Linked DNA regions of Drosophila melanogaster. The protein of the gene in region 1 purifies or fractionates together with the protein of each later gene. This does not show direct contact. Each region holds a gene or a part of one and is shown on either strand. Other genes may lie near its edges. The genes, in order: SLC5A11 and KCNQ.

The links.
Region 2: the proteins of SLC5A11 (region 1) and KCNQ purify together in Drosophila melanogaster (affinity purification with western blotting; one study listed by BioGRID). This does not show direct contact.

Annotation. Positions count from the first base shown.
Region 1 is NT_033779.5:8,199,813-8,207,250, reverse strand, and holds SLC5A11 (Sodium/solute co-transporter-like 5A11), read left to right. Parts: upstream 1-2,118; 5' UTR 2,119-2,555; coding exon 2,556-2,564; exon of another isoform or gene 2,565-2,759; intron 2,760-3,614; coding exon 3,615-3,724; intron 3,725-3,781; coding exon 3,782-3,937; intron 3,938-4,004; coding exon 4,005-4,164; intron 4,165-4,320; exon of another isoform or gene 4,321-4,717; coding exon 4,718-4,783; exon of another isoform or gene 4,784-4,841; coding exon 4,842-4,893; exon of another isoform or gene 4,894-4,951; coding exon 4,952-5,019; exon of another isoform or gene 5,020-5,075; coding exon 5,076-5,489; intron 5,490-5,526; exon of another isoform or gene 5,527-5,542; coding exon 5,543-6,234; intron 6,235-6,290; coding exon 6,291-6,366; 3' UTR 6,367-6,786; downstream 6,787-7,438. Other genes in the region: CG8419 (uncharacterized protein), read right to left, coding at 1-972; PGAP5 (Post-GPI attachment to proteins 5), read right to left, coding at 6,896-6,905, 6,971-7,149, 7,218-7,438.
Region 2 is NT_033778.4:10,151,737-10,156,823, forward strand, and holds the start of KCNQ (KCNQ potassium channel), read right to left. Parts: upstream 3,142-5,087; 5' UTR 3,039-3,141; coding exon 2,986-3,038; intron 2,899-2,985; coding exon 2,713-2,898; intron 2,610-2,712; exon of another isoform or gene 2,524-2,609; coding exon 2,306-2,523; intron 2,248-2,305; coding exon 2,072-2,247; exon of another isoform or gene 1,866-2,071; coding exon 1,740-1,865; exon of another isoform or gene 1,682-1,739; coding exon 1,571-1,681; exon of another isoform or gene 1,563-1,570; intron 1,371-1,562; exon of another isoform or gene 1,356-1,370; coding exon 1,168-1,355; exon of another isoform or gene 1,140-1,167; intron 1,038-1,139; exon of another isoform or gene 981-1,037; intron 687-980; coding exon of another isoform or gene 642-686; intron 1-641. Other genes in the region: mlt (mulet), read right to left, coding at 4,934-5,087.

The DNA.
Region 1 (7,438 bases):
CAAGCAATGCAGTGTCCTGGGATCTGTGTAAACATCCAGGCAGATGCCGCACTTGAGATCATCTGTGAAGATTACGGTGTTCTCGGGAGGGGTACTCGGTCTGAGAGTAATGCTGGGTGATGGTGACACGGGGGGAGAGATTCCGGGAGATCGTGAGGGACTTCTGGTCAGTGGTGAGGGTGCATCAAAGACCTCTGGTCTTGGAGTCAGTGAAAGCAGAAGTTGAGTTGGCATCTGGACCTGGGGTTGAGTAGTGTCTGGAGTTGGTGGAGATACTCTCAGCTCCGGAGAAGCCTTCAAGCTGAGTAGCCTCTTGGGATGCAGTTGCTCCTTTGCTTTTATGGGCTGTGCCACCGTAGCATTACTGGCTTGGCTGCTGCTACTACTTTGTACGGAAACGGAGGAGGCACCGCTGAGTATGTTATCCAAAAGGGATTCAGGCGAAGTAGAGCTACCTCCTCCAGCCAAGCTGCTAGTGGGCTCACTGCCACTGTCCCTATCCTGCACACCGAGTTCGACATTGGATAGCCCTGTACCTGATGACCCTGCACCCTGGGCACTATTCGACAAACCCAAAGTCCTAGATCTTCGGATGGAGCTCTTTGGTGCCAAACCCGGTAGCTTTGGCACTGAGGGTAGATGTATTTTCGAAGTCACTTCGCTCTTTGGGGCAATAGTAAAGGTAAAAAGTTGTGGTGCTGATTTGCGACGCACTGCGTCTGGTAAGGGAGCGGTCTGCAGATTATTCTGCGAAGTCTGTGCGTTTTTTCGTAAGGAAATTTTGGCAGAACTCAACTTTATCTTAAGTTTCCCTAAGGATGCACTGGGTGGCACAGCTGGAGTAGGAGGTGGGCTCGGAACAACTATTTCCACATCCCCTCGGATGCGTTCGTAATCCGTTAACTGGCCACTCTTGTTTCCGTTACTCGTTTTTCGCTTGAAAGCGATTTTCGAGCGATTTTCCCTGCTCATGCTTCCCGGTTATGCAATCCTGCAGCTCGGACTACGGATTCCAGGCAATCTGGAGCACCACCGCGTGTTCCCGTTGCAATTGGGACTGAAACTGAGACTGGGTCTCGGACTTGGTTGCTGCCTAATCCAATTACATTCCTCATTGGAAACCCACGGCGCACTGCGAGTGCGAATGGTGGCAAAAGTCTGACACTGACAATTGTGCAATTATCTGTTGTGGTTGCTCATTCTAAATAGTTCTTTCATGACAACCTGTCACTTGCTATTGATTGACTTTCTGATTTTCTGAATCCAGAGAGTATTTCGTGGTATGATGGGTGGGAGAAGATCCAACGGAGTAACCAAAGGAACGTCTCAACTTCCGAGTACCCCGCTAAACCCGTGAAGTGAAACTCTAGATGGACCCGATGTCGGTAGTGAATCAATTATTTTTTCATTTACCACCAAAAGGGAGTGTTCAAATTACTTCTATTTTTAAATGTGGCAATGGTAAACTTAGGTGTGTAGTTTACTACACGTTACTTGAGCAATTGATAGTGAATATATAATAATTTCAATATTACAGAAAACCCATAATGTCATATTAATACTAATAACCTTTTAACATATGTGTTTTTAAAATTGTTCGAATAATAGCGGATAACAACAGTTGAGTATTTTTTCATCTGAATGCAACTAGCTGCTCCAAACTTCCGTTAATAGCTCCATTAGCTGATCGAATGGCCAAGTAACCACTTACATTGACATAATACATTGTGAGGATTACAAAAGCAACGAAGCTTTCTCTCCCACCTAATCTTGCCAAAGCCCCCACACATTTACAACACTCGCTCTTTTACTCTCTCTATACGCAATGGCAAGATAAATGGTTGGGAGAGGGAGCTTTTCGAGCGCAGTATTAAGGGGTATATTATGTTCATGTTACAAATAATACTTTTATCCAGAAAATATCAGTTGTATTCCCAATACTTGAGTCATTTATACATTTAGTTTTATTTATACATTTTATTTTTATTCTGTTCCGTTGTTCCTATGTTAAATATGAGGTAATGGGTATACTTTGATCGGTACTCTCCATTCTAGCTGTCCCACTTGTTTTTGTCGAGCAGCTGGCCTAGTGGCTTTTATTTTCGACCCGCTCGCAGACATCAGTTGCAGTTCGGAAGCGGAATCGGTTGATGTTGTTGCTCCGATTCGGACGTGGAATATTTCGCTTTTGTACACTCGTATTTTCGACTTCAAAGAATCGGGCAAAAGCGCACAGAACAGACCTGAAAAACTTTTCCGTGCGTTTCCGAGTTTTGTTTTAATGTGTTCCATGTGATTAACTTTGTACGTTTATAGAACCCTTTTTTAAAAACCAATGGAAATACACGGAATCCGTTGACCCTTTTTGCCACAAGAAAATTTTCATTACGTTTCGCAGAATTTGTTGGTAGTTTGCTCTTTCTGGCCGTTTATCGTGCGTTGCTTTGCTGTTGATTTTCGTGAGGGACGCGCAATTTTCCATTCACCTCCGCTGCTCCAGTTACGGAAGCCACCCCCACCATTGTAAAGCCTAGCGTTTGCCGGTCCCCAACAATATGGAAGCGGTACGTATTTTGCACATTTCGCCGGTTCCAAACATTAAGAGCTATTTAGGAACTTTGGAGCGGGGGACACGGCATTTGGGTTACAAAGTCCAAGTCCAGGGCGATAATGCTGCTGCTGCTCGAGATATTGCGTAAAAGGTTGAAGTCTCTTCTCTGAGATTCGATCGGCTCCGATTGATCATCCAGTCAATGAACCTAAATGGCAGACGAAAAATTAGTATTTTATGCTAAACACCGTCTGCATCATTAGATAGGAACTAAGAAAGTAAAAGAAAATTGGGAGTATTAAAAATATATTAATTTTGCTAATAACAAAAGATTCATAATCTAGAAAACCAAAGCTGGATAATGTCAAAGTCACCAGAACGAGTTATCTTGCCAAATATGCATTTGATAATAACGCGAAATCATATTAATAAAATGTTTTGTAATTTTGAAGCGATTGCTAAACATGTTAAATAAATAATACATGGGGAAAAGGGTTAAAGTCTCTAGTCCGTAGAGATTGATGAATAATAAGCAGGCACCTGCTGATAAGACCTGGTTCCCATAACTTCACATGGACATGGACATTGTGGTTGTAGGGACTTAAGTACCACTTTTAATAATATGATTAAGCCATGGCATTTTGGACGAGCGAAACAAACTGTTTAAAAGCAGATAAAAATGTATTGTGGAGTAATACATAAATAAACAAAGCGAGATAATTGTAATTAGCATGTATTTGCTAACTTTTTATACCTAGCTTTTAAGAAAATCTCTTACCGTACACAGTTGGTACTTTAAAAGCAAGAGTCTCATTTTCATTTTATGACCCATTTAAGACAAACTACAGCAATTACAAGTATATTGGCCACAGACCCAGACGTGCGATGATTATATGAATTCTGAGTTCATTTCGCACACTTGTTCTTACAAAAGAAACAAATTAAGTTTCTGAACTTTAAAACCACCTGATAGAGATTGTCACTGCCAAGGAGAATCACAACAAACTTTAAACTAAATCATATAAAGATCATAAACTGACCCAAAATTAACTCTTTTTCTTAGGTGGCAAAGAAGGGCATGGAGAACTACAGATTTGGCAGTGTGGACTATGCCGTTTTCCTGGGCATGATCGTATTATCCACCAGCACGGGCATCTATTTCGGGTGCATCAAGTGAGTGACCTTTAAACAAATCCTCGGAATATTGCCAAACAATTGTTGTAATTACAGGAAGAGCAAGGTGAAGCTCGAGGAGGCGGAACCCACTCTGCCGACGACCACGCCAAAAAGGCGGAAACACGATTTCGGATCGGAGAAGATGAGCGAGTATCTGCTAGGGTCACGCAATCTGAAAGTTTTCCCCGTTGCCATGAGCCTGATAGCCAGGTAGAGTTGGCGATGCGATCCCGCACCTCCAAATATGCCTGTACAATCTGTTCCCTTTTATTTCCAGCTATATATCGGGCGTTACCATACTGGGCACAACCTCTGAGATCTACAATTATGGCACGCAATATTGGTTTATAGCCATAGCAATAATGCTCCAAGGTATTGCCGTCTCCTACGTCTACATACCAGTGTTCTCGGCTCTTCAAGTAGGCTCTTCCTATGAGGTACGATACTCGTAAATTCTATAAACTGATTTATACATTTACAATCTAATGGGTCAATAAGCTTATGCTAACAGTAAAAGTAATAACGTCCAGAACGCAACCAAAAATGTAAATTGGGTTTTAACGGAAATATTAATTTAGCTATAAAATACTCACCATTTCTTTCAATGACGAGTTAGTTAAAATAAAGATAGACAAGTTCATCTGTAGTGGTTGCTGATAAGAATGACAAACTTTCTAAGATGTTTCCGTCTTCCCCCTTTCGCTCCGTCACTTTTGTCCAATCAATGAACGGAGGACGTAGTGAACACTTTAATTAACTGGGAATCGGAGACCACCCTCCCCTCAAGTGGAATTTCTTGGACTTTGCACTCGCCCACTTGTTGCGACTTTTTTCTGGGTTCCAGCGGTTCGATATGATTAATTGCAATGTGGTTTTCTGCCACTTGACAATTGTGTCGAGCAATTAGTTTTCGTTTTCGGTCTTTATGACGTTAGTTTTCGAATCCTAAACGCAAGTCATTTGAATTATGAAATATAATATTGCTTTCAGTACTTGGAGATGCGCTTTCATTCGGTCGTACGAAGTATTGCATCCTTTATGTTTATTCTGGATGAGGTAAGTCAAAGATAATATTTGGACTGCAATGTTGTAATAATTGTCGATCCAATTTTAGATTCTGTTTCTGCCTTTCATTGTGTATGTACCAGCTATAGCTCTGAATCAGGGTAAGCCGCATTTGTTAATTGTTTGAAACACAACTTTAATCTTTCGATAATCTTGCAGTATCGGGCATTAATCTCCATGTGATTGCAGTGGTAATTGTGGTCGTGTGTGTTTTCTACACCTTTGTCGTAAGTTTTAGAGAGTTTCATACGTATGTTTTTATACTAATGGCGCCTATTTTCAGGGAGGAATCAAAGCAGTGGTCCACACAGATGCTTGGCAGGTGCTGGTCATGTTCCTTTCCGTTCTTGCTGTGGCTATTTTGGCCACTGTCTATGCAAATGGCTTGAATGTCCTTTTCGATGATGCTGCCAAAGGTGGCCGATTGATCTTTAACAATACAAACCCATCGCCTTATGTAAGGCACACTGTTTGGAGCGTCCTAATCGGGGGATTCTCCTACTGGACCTCATTCAATGCCGTCAACCAGACCATGGTCCAGCGATACATGTCTCTTCCATCGCTCAAGAAGGCTCGTGCTTCCATGGCCATTTTTACAATTGGCGTGGCTGCCTTCGTCTCTGTTTGTTGTTATGTGGGACTGCTAATCTATGAGATGTACAAAGATTGTGATCCTCTGAGTGCGGGACTAATAACAGTGAGTAAATAATAAATTGTTTTTGAACTTTACTTACGTTTATTTCCTTGCAGCACGACGATCAGCTACTGCCGCTCTTTGTCGTTCAGAGTGTGGGTCATATCTATGGTATGTCTGGTTTGTTTATAGCCGGCATATTTGGAGCTGCCTTGAGCTCCCTTTCTGTGGTTCTGAACTCAACGTCCTTGGTAATCCTGGAGGATATAGTTCGCGGCTGCTTCAAGATGCAACCAAGTGAAAGAGCCTCCACCATTCTGGTAAAGTCAACTGTTATAGTTCTTGGCTTTGTGGCCCTATCACTGGTATTTGTCCTGGAACAACTGAGTGGAATCCTGAGCATTTGCACTTCAATGACGGCCATCGCAGCTGGAACCACTTTTGGCCTGTTTACCCTGGGAATGCTCGTTCCCTGGGCCAATACTGTAGGCACTGCTGTGGGCGGAATTGCAAGTGCTCTGCTCGCCGGGTGGATATCCTTTGGAACGCAGTTTACCATCGCAGCGGGTGAATTGAATTCTCAAAAGCTTCCCGTATCCGTGGAGGGATGTGTGGGCAATGTAACGCTTCGGGAAAATATATGGGTAGATGAGGAGCAAGTTTTTCCACTGTACCGACTGTCCTACCACTGGATAAATCCCATTGGTGTGGCCACAGTCATTGTGGTAGGTGCACTAGTCTCCCTTGTGACCAAACCCACAAATATGAAAACACTAGATCCGGATCTAATATCACCAGTGATTCACAGGTAATTTTTGTAACCACATGTTTAACCTCTGTTATTAAACCCATTTTTTCTTCTAGATTCCTTCCAAAAGAATGCTTTAGTGGTCGCAATCTCCATGCGCAGGCGCACAAAAACCTCTTAAACGTATCCTAAAATAGACGAACCAGAACTTCCTGTGCCAAACTAATGGAATTGATGGCATTGAATTCCACACCCTGTTTTGTTAGCATAGTTTGTAGTTGTAGTTGCTTTGTGGTAGTTACCTTATAGATAGCCTAGTCTAGTACAATGTGATCCAGATATTGGAAGACATAAACCGAAGTACAGGAACCTATGAATCTGCATCTCAGAATACAGAGTGCACAATCATTAACGTTATATAGTAAATGTATTATAATATAGCTTTATTTAATTGTTCTGTTTGTATCCGTTCTTTACTTTCCAGCCTTTGTTCAAGCATTATTTTTTTGGCATTTTCGATTTGTAGTCAGCAGACTGTGTCTCATTATGTATTCCGTTTGACTTTACAAGCATAATGTCTGTGATAAATTCAATAAATAGATCATACATACTATCCGAATTTTGTACACCTAGAATATAGTTAAGCGGTTGCAAAGCAGCAGGAATGATATGACCTCTGTCTGGATCTGGATCTGGGATCTGAGTCTGGAATCTGGCGTATCTAGTCTAAACTAAGCCCCAATCAGGCGTAAATCACAAAAGAGGATATGCCTTGTATAGGCATGCTTATACATACTAATTAACCTTCCGATGATCTACAGCCGACGACTGTCTTCTGCTTTGGATGCACTTTCGTAGCTGGAACCCGATGACAATTAGGCAAAGAATGCCAGCACTCAGATAGCTATTGAAGACAAACTGCTGTGGCAGCATTTTGCACTTGGAAACCACATAGTCATCGGGGGTTATAGTGGCCTAAAAGTTATGGCATGTTAGTACAAGTTCGAAGGGCTAACAATCGTAAGAGCAAATATAATACTCACCAGCATAAAGCTGGGATTAACTTTGTTTCGCCAGCTGAATGAGGCCACCGTGTACTCATCGATGCCCAGTCGATTTACACTGTGACAGAAGTGATGTGAATGACCGGCGAATGCCAGCCTTGGCTTAAGCAGCTCTCCCAGCATATCCGTGGCATCCTTGGAGAGCACATGAAACCGCTCTCGGAACGCCTCGATGTACGGAGCATCGTGCTCCTCGCACA
Region 2 (5,087 bases), on another chromosome or scaffold:
TAAATACTAAAATTTGAAAATTCTTTAGGCGATGCCTTCATTTTTGAAAGGCGGGACTGGGGGAAACGAGTCATCGAGGTGCTAGAAGAAAAACCTTACGAACTTAGGGAGGGAGTGAGTGGGTGGTTGTGGTGTCTTCATTTCGCATGGATTAAAGGGGTAAAAGGAGCAAGAGAGAGAATCGAATAAAAAGCTTTTCACTCATTTGGCTTCATTGAACTCACGTGTTAATTATAGATTATACACACAATTATATGCATTTTTATGGAGTTTTTGGGCGCGAGGCAGCAGAACACACAAAATGAGAATCAATTCGTATCATATTGATTAATCGTTTTCGGTCAATGGGGTAAGTTTAAAAAATTTAGCAAAAACGCCTTTGAATGCAGCGAAAGACAGAGATGGAAAGACGAGGCGACAGAGCGAGTGCGACAGAGAGGGAGATTGAGTCTGGTGCTGATGGTAGAAAAGCTGCGAATTAACTATATTTAATTTTTGATTTTAGATGTGGGAGCCATGTCTACGGATGTGGGTGCTTTTGGGGGCTGAGGAACACCGCCCGTACAAAATGATTGGCAGATTGCTTGAGTCTTTGCTTGGCTTGATTTTGATTGCTTTTTGTTACGGTTATCAACTTTTACCTATATTCAGTTATGTTTTTTAATAATCGCTCCCAGTTTTCAGAACTGAAAATGTTTACAAAAATTATATTATCTATGGGAATAAGTAAATTATATAGAACATAAGTATTTAATCGAGTGGACAGAAGAAAGACGGATAGAAAGACAGTCGGGTGGCTATAGTTGCATATGCTAAGTATCTCTATTTCTACCTATGAGTGTTTTAGTTTGATCAGTGTTATTGTTCTGTACACATTCAATTTCCAATTGAGCTCTACATGACAAGTTTCCAAAATTTAGCGCCTTTCTACGCGCTTCTCACAAGTTCTAGCTCGCCAGCTCGTAAACAAGTTTTTCTTTGGTTATAAACACCAATGCGAATAGTGTTTGTGTCAGTGTGCATGTGTTTGTGACTGTGTAAGTGTTTTATCGATACTGTACAGTACTCGTTGAACTTCTCTTCTGTAATATACCCCCAAAAGATACTTGAGTTTCATTCAAATGTTCCGCCCCACAAAGGATCAGTCGATATTAAGGCAATACATACGAAGCTGGCGGACTGGGCAGCGCCACCCGGTGGATGTTCCACGTAGCCACCGATACGGAATGCTCGTCGGCCGCATAGCATCTCCACACGGCCTGGATGAGAGTGGCCGCCGGCTGGCGACGGCGAATCATGTGCTTCTGCCGCTGCTGCTGCTGCACCTTCAGAGCAAATCCGCTGCCGAGGATGCCCTGGGAAAAAAGAAGGTATGAAGTGAAATTCGAATTTATGATCAACTGTGGCTGCGCTTCTATGATTGATCGATAAGAATAGTATAACAGCACTTCATTGTCAATCATAAATAGTGAGATAACATGTCTTTATCACTAGCCCTCGTATCAAAAAGTAATTAAAAATAGGTGGCACTATTAAAGCTATGTTTATTCGTAATCTAAAAGTGACTTACAGCTGGCAAAGCGAAAAAGGATATTCCCAGAAGGGCGCAGCAGGAGGCAATTAGCTTGCCCTGCCAGGTGATGGGCACCATGTCTCCATAGCCCACCGTGCAGAGTGTGATCTGGAATCGAAAGGATGGGCTAGCACTGTGATTATGTCATGGGATCCAAGGGACTCACCACACCCCACCAGAGGGCTTGGGCGAAATTGCTAAACTTATCATTGACGTCCTTCTCCCACATATAGACCAGGAATGATGCAAAGATTAGACCTAAGAACCCTATGTACATGGTTGTGATCAGTTCCTGCAAGTCAAAATATATATGTAGATAGGAAATCGTGTACGTTTTTAAAGATAAGGCATTTAATTAACTTTAAAGCATGTGTTATTTACGCAATTAAAGTGCACTTGTCATCCCGATAACGATAAGAAAGTGATCTTCTTAAGCACTCTAATCAAAGAGAACTTGAGCAAATACTTTCAAGGTGTAAACGTGGAAAACAAACTCACCTGTCTATGTGCGTATACAACCGAGCCGAGCAGCTTCCAGGTGCCGCCCCGCCGATCCATGCGCACCATCCGAAGGATCTGAAAGAACCGGAGGCCACGTAAAGCACTCGTGGCGAACACCTGGCCCGAGGTGCCCATTCCTAATACTACAATTGAGGCTAAAATGGTGACAATATCTGGAATGCACAAATATCATTCAGTTAGTGAAACTAATTTTTTTTTTTTGTTATTTACCTATAATACAGAATGGTCGCTTCACGAACTTCAGTCGACCCAGGCATCCCTGGTATCGCGATCGGCAGCCCGATGACCAGAGTCGAGCTCCAAACTCCATTGTGAACCAGATAACCACCAGGATCTCCATGCGGAACAGAATGTAGACGGCGTCCTCTTCGTACTCCTTGATGGTGGAAAACACACTGAGCGCCAGGCAGGTGAACACCATCAGGAATCTTTAGGAAATGAGCAATCACAAATTATTGTAATGTAAAGTAAATAAATACTTTTTTCTCTTATGGCATTCAATAATTTTTAGTGTAATAAAATCAACACTGCTTCTAAAGAAATTCACTTTTCTTACGTGAAGCTTGAACTAGATGCTATTATGAACACTTTAACAACGTTTTTTGCAGTGTACTTACACCATCACATGGTAGAAGATGGCGTGCAGGCCGCGCGGCCGCTCCAGGAAGTTGTAGAGGCGACTCTGGAGGCGCCGGTAGCGAACATCGCGGCGGGTGCCGCGGTTGTAGTTCAGCGGCTTTCCTAGGAGTGACATTCGCGGTTGCAGGATTCGTTCCGAGTTCGGCCTGCCCGGTCTACATTTCCTGCAAGTCCAGAAGTTTGAAAGTTTAGTATTTGAATTTGCTGCATTGTGGTAATCACTTAAGTTGCTATTATTTTTTCAAGTGTACCCCTTGTACCCCCTTATGTCGTAGAAGGCATAAATATCGTTGTCCGGATCCATTCTGATCTCATTCCACAACGCTGAGTTCTCGGAAAATCTCGGCAAATATTTTTGACACTTCGGACACGTCTGGCTCCAACGACGATTGAACCGCAACTCGATCGACGGGCGAGCGACGGCCGGTTAAAAAACCTTCCTTAACAACTAGACTTTCAAAACCCCATGTGTAAATTTTATTAATTATCTACATAAACAGTTTTTTCGTTCCACACACCTTGCATTTTTACGACAGCCCAAGTCTGCGTAGACCTCTATTTGATTTGTTTTAATAAATACCCCATATACCCAAGTATATTGCAGCTCGTCATCAGCAGAGCCCCATAAAATTTCGCGCATTTTAGCGACGGTTTCGTTTCGGCTCCCCATCGCCGTTGTGGGCGGGTCAGGTTCGCTTTAGTCACGATCTCTCGACTTTGTCTTTGCCCAACGTGCTGCCTATCGATCCTACGTCATTAACATTTGGCACTTGCCATACCCCAACAACCCAAATATGGGTGAGTTTTGGCAATTCATTCGGGGAGTGCTGGAAAACTACCAGCCGCTAATGGGAGCGTTTTACTTGGATATTGGTATTCGATTCTATAAGGGTTTCAGTGGTAGGATAAAATTAAGTACGGCACCTAAACAACAGATTTAAGGATCAGATACATCTCTCTCAAAAGTATTTATTAAAAATAGGGAAGATAAGATTTTGTTCAGATACTTTTAGCTTTCAAATATATGAATTACGAGACAATGATCGCTTAATAAGGAAATCTATATAAACTGCTTTTGTCATGATTATTGATCTATAAGAAAAGATCTTTCACAAGACACATAACAAGGAAACGCTCAACAAGAAAAGAATTCAAGCTTCTCATCTTGACCTTCTTGATAAATCAATAAATTAACTGTTCATAAACAGCTTTAGATGAAAGCAAAGCAAATAATCGTGATTTCACTGGCCAGAACGTGATAAATACCCGCTAAATGGTGAATATCATGTAGTTGTAATCAAAATAATAGTACGAGCATAGCATTTTATTTGAATATCACATAAATGTTAGTATAAGAATTATAACTTACATCTAAGATACCTATATATCAGATTCAAAATATTATAAAATGTTTAACATAAATATAATTTTTTTTTTAATTTTGTGAAAATATTAAATATTTTAGAGTTATTTAAATCGTTGACGAATTATTTACTAGACATTTCATCACTATTATTTTGAACACCAGTGTCCATAACAAAAATGTGTTAAGTGGACGTGTAACCATCATAGATACTTATTGTTCAGCTAATTGTATGTGGGAAGCGGGAGAGCCAGTTCTCAGGTCTCTTTTCCGGCAACTTTTCAAAGCTCCCCTCGAGCGAGATAATTGCAGTGCTGAAGTCAGCTATCGACAACGGGATCGCGAAAGCTCCCCACTATCCCCAATCCGTGGACGTGTGCCTGTGTTGGGGTGCTTCGAGTTCGCTCTATGAGTCATATCTTATCTTCCAGCGATCCCCAGCGCAAAGTGCTGCCCATCACCATAAAACGCGGAGAGTGGGTAAATTTTAAAATTGTTTAATGCATTCTTGCTTGTTTTTTTGATTTTTTGTTTTGTTTTTGTTTTGTTTTTTTTTGTGGTGGTTTGTATTTGTATTTTGTGTGTGGCTTAGGTTAGGCAGTAATAATTAAAATATACGATGTGGGTGCGCAGTAATGCTCGCTTGGCCATTTTCAGAACGTATGTACACAGGGGTTCGCTGCGGAGAACAGAACGGCACTAACAGTAGAGTAAAGTAAATGTAAATGATTCGTGTACAAGATCACAAGTTGTAGCACCAGGCGGGGGACGAAGGGCGGTTCGGGTTAATGGTAATCCTCTCCAGATACGGAAGCATGTAGCCCATACGTCGCGCCTCACTTCTTGGCATCGATGATGATCTCGTCGCCCGACTGGATGTTGTAGCTGTACAACTGCTTGTTGGGGTACCTCATCTCCTCCGGCCCGAATTCCTTGTAGTCCTGATCCAGATAGTAGAGGCGCATCTTGTTGGGCGCCAGACCCACCAGC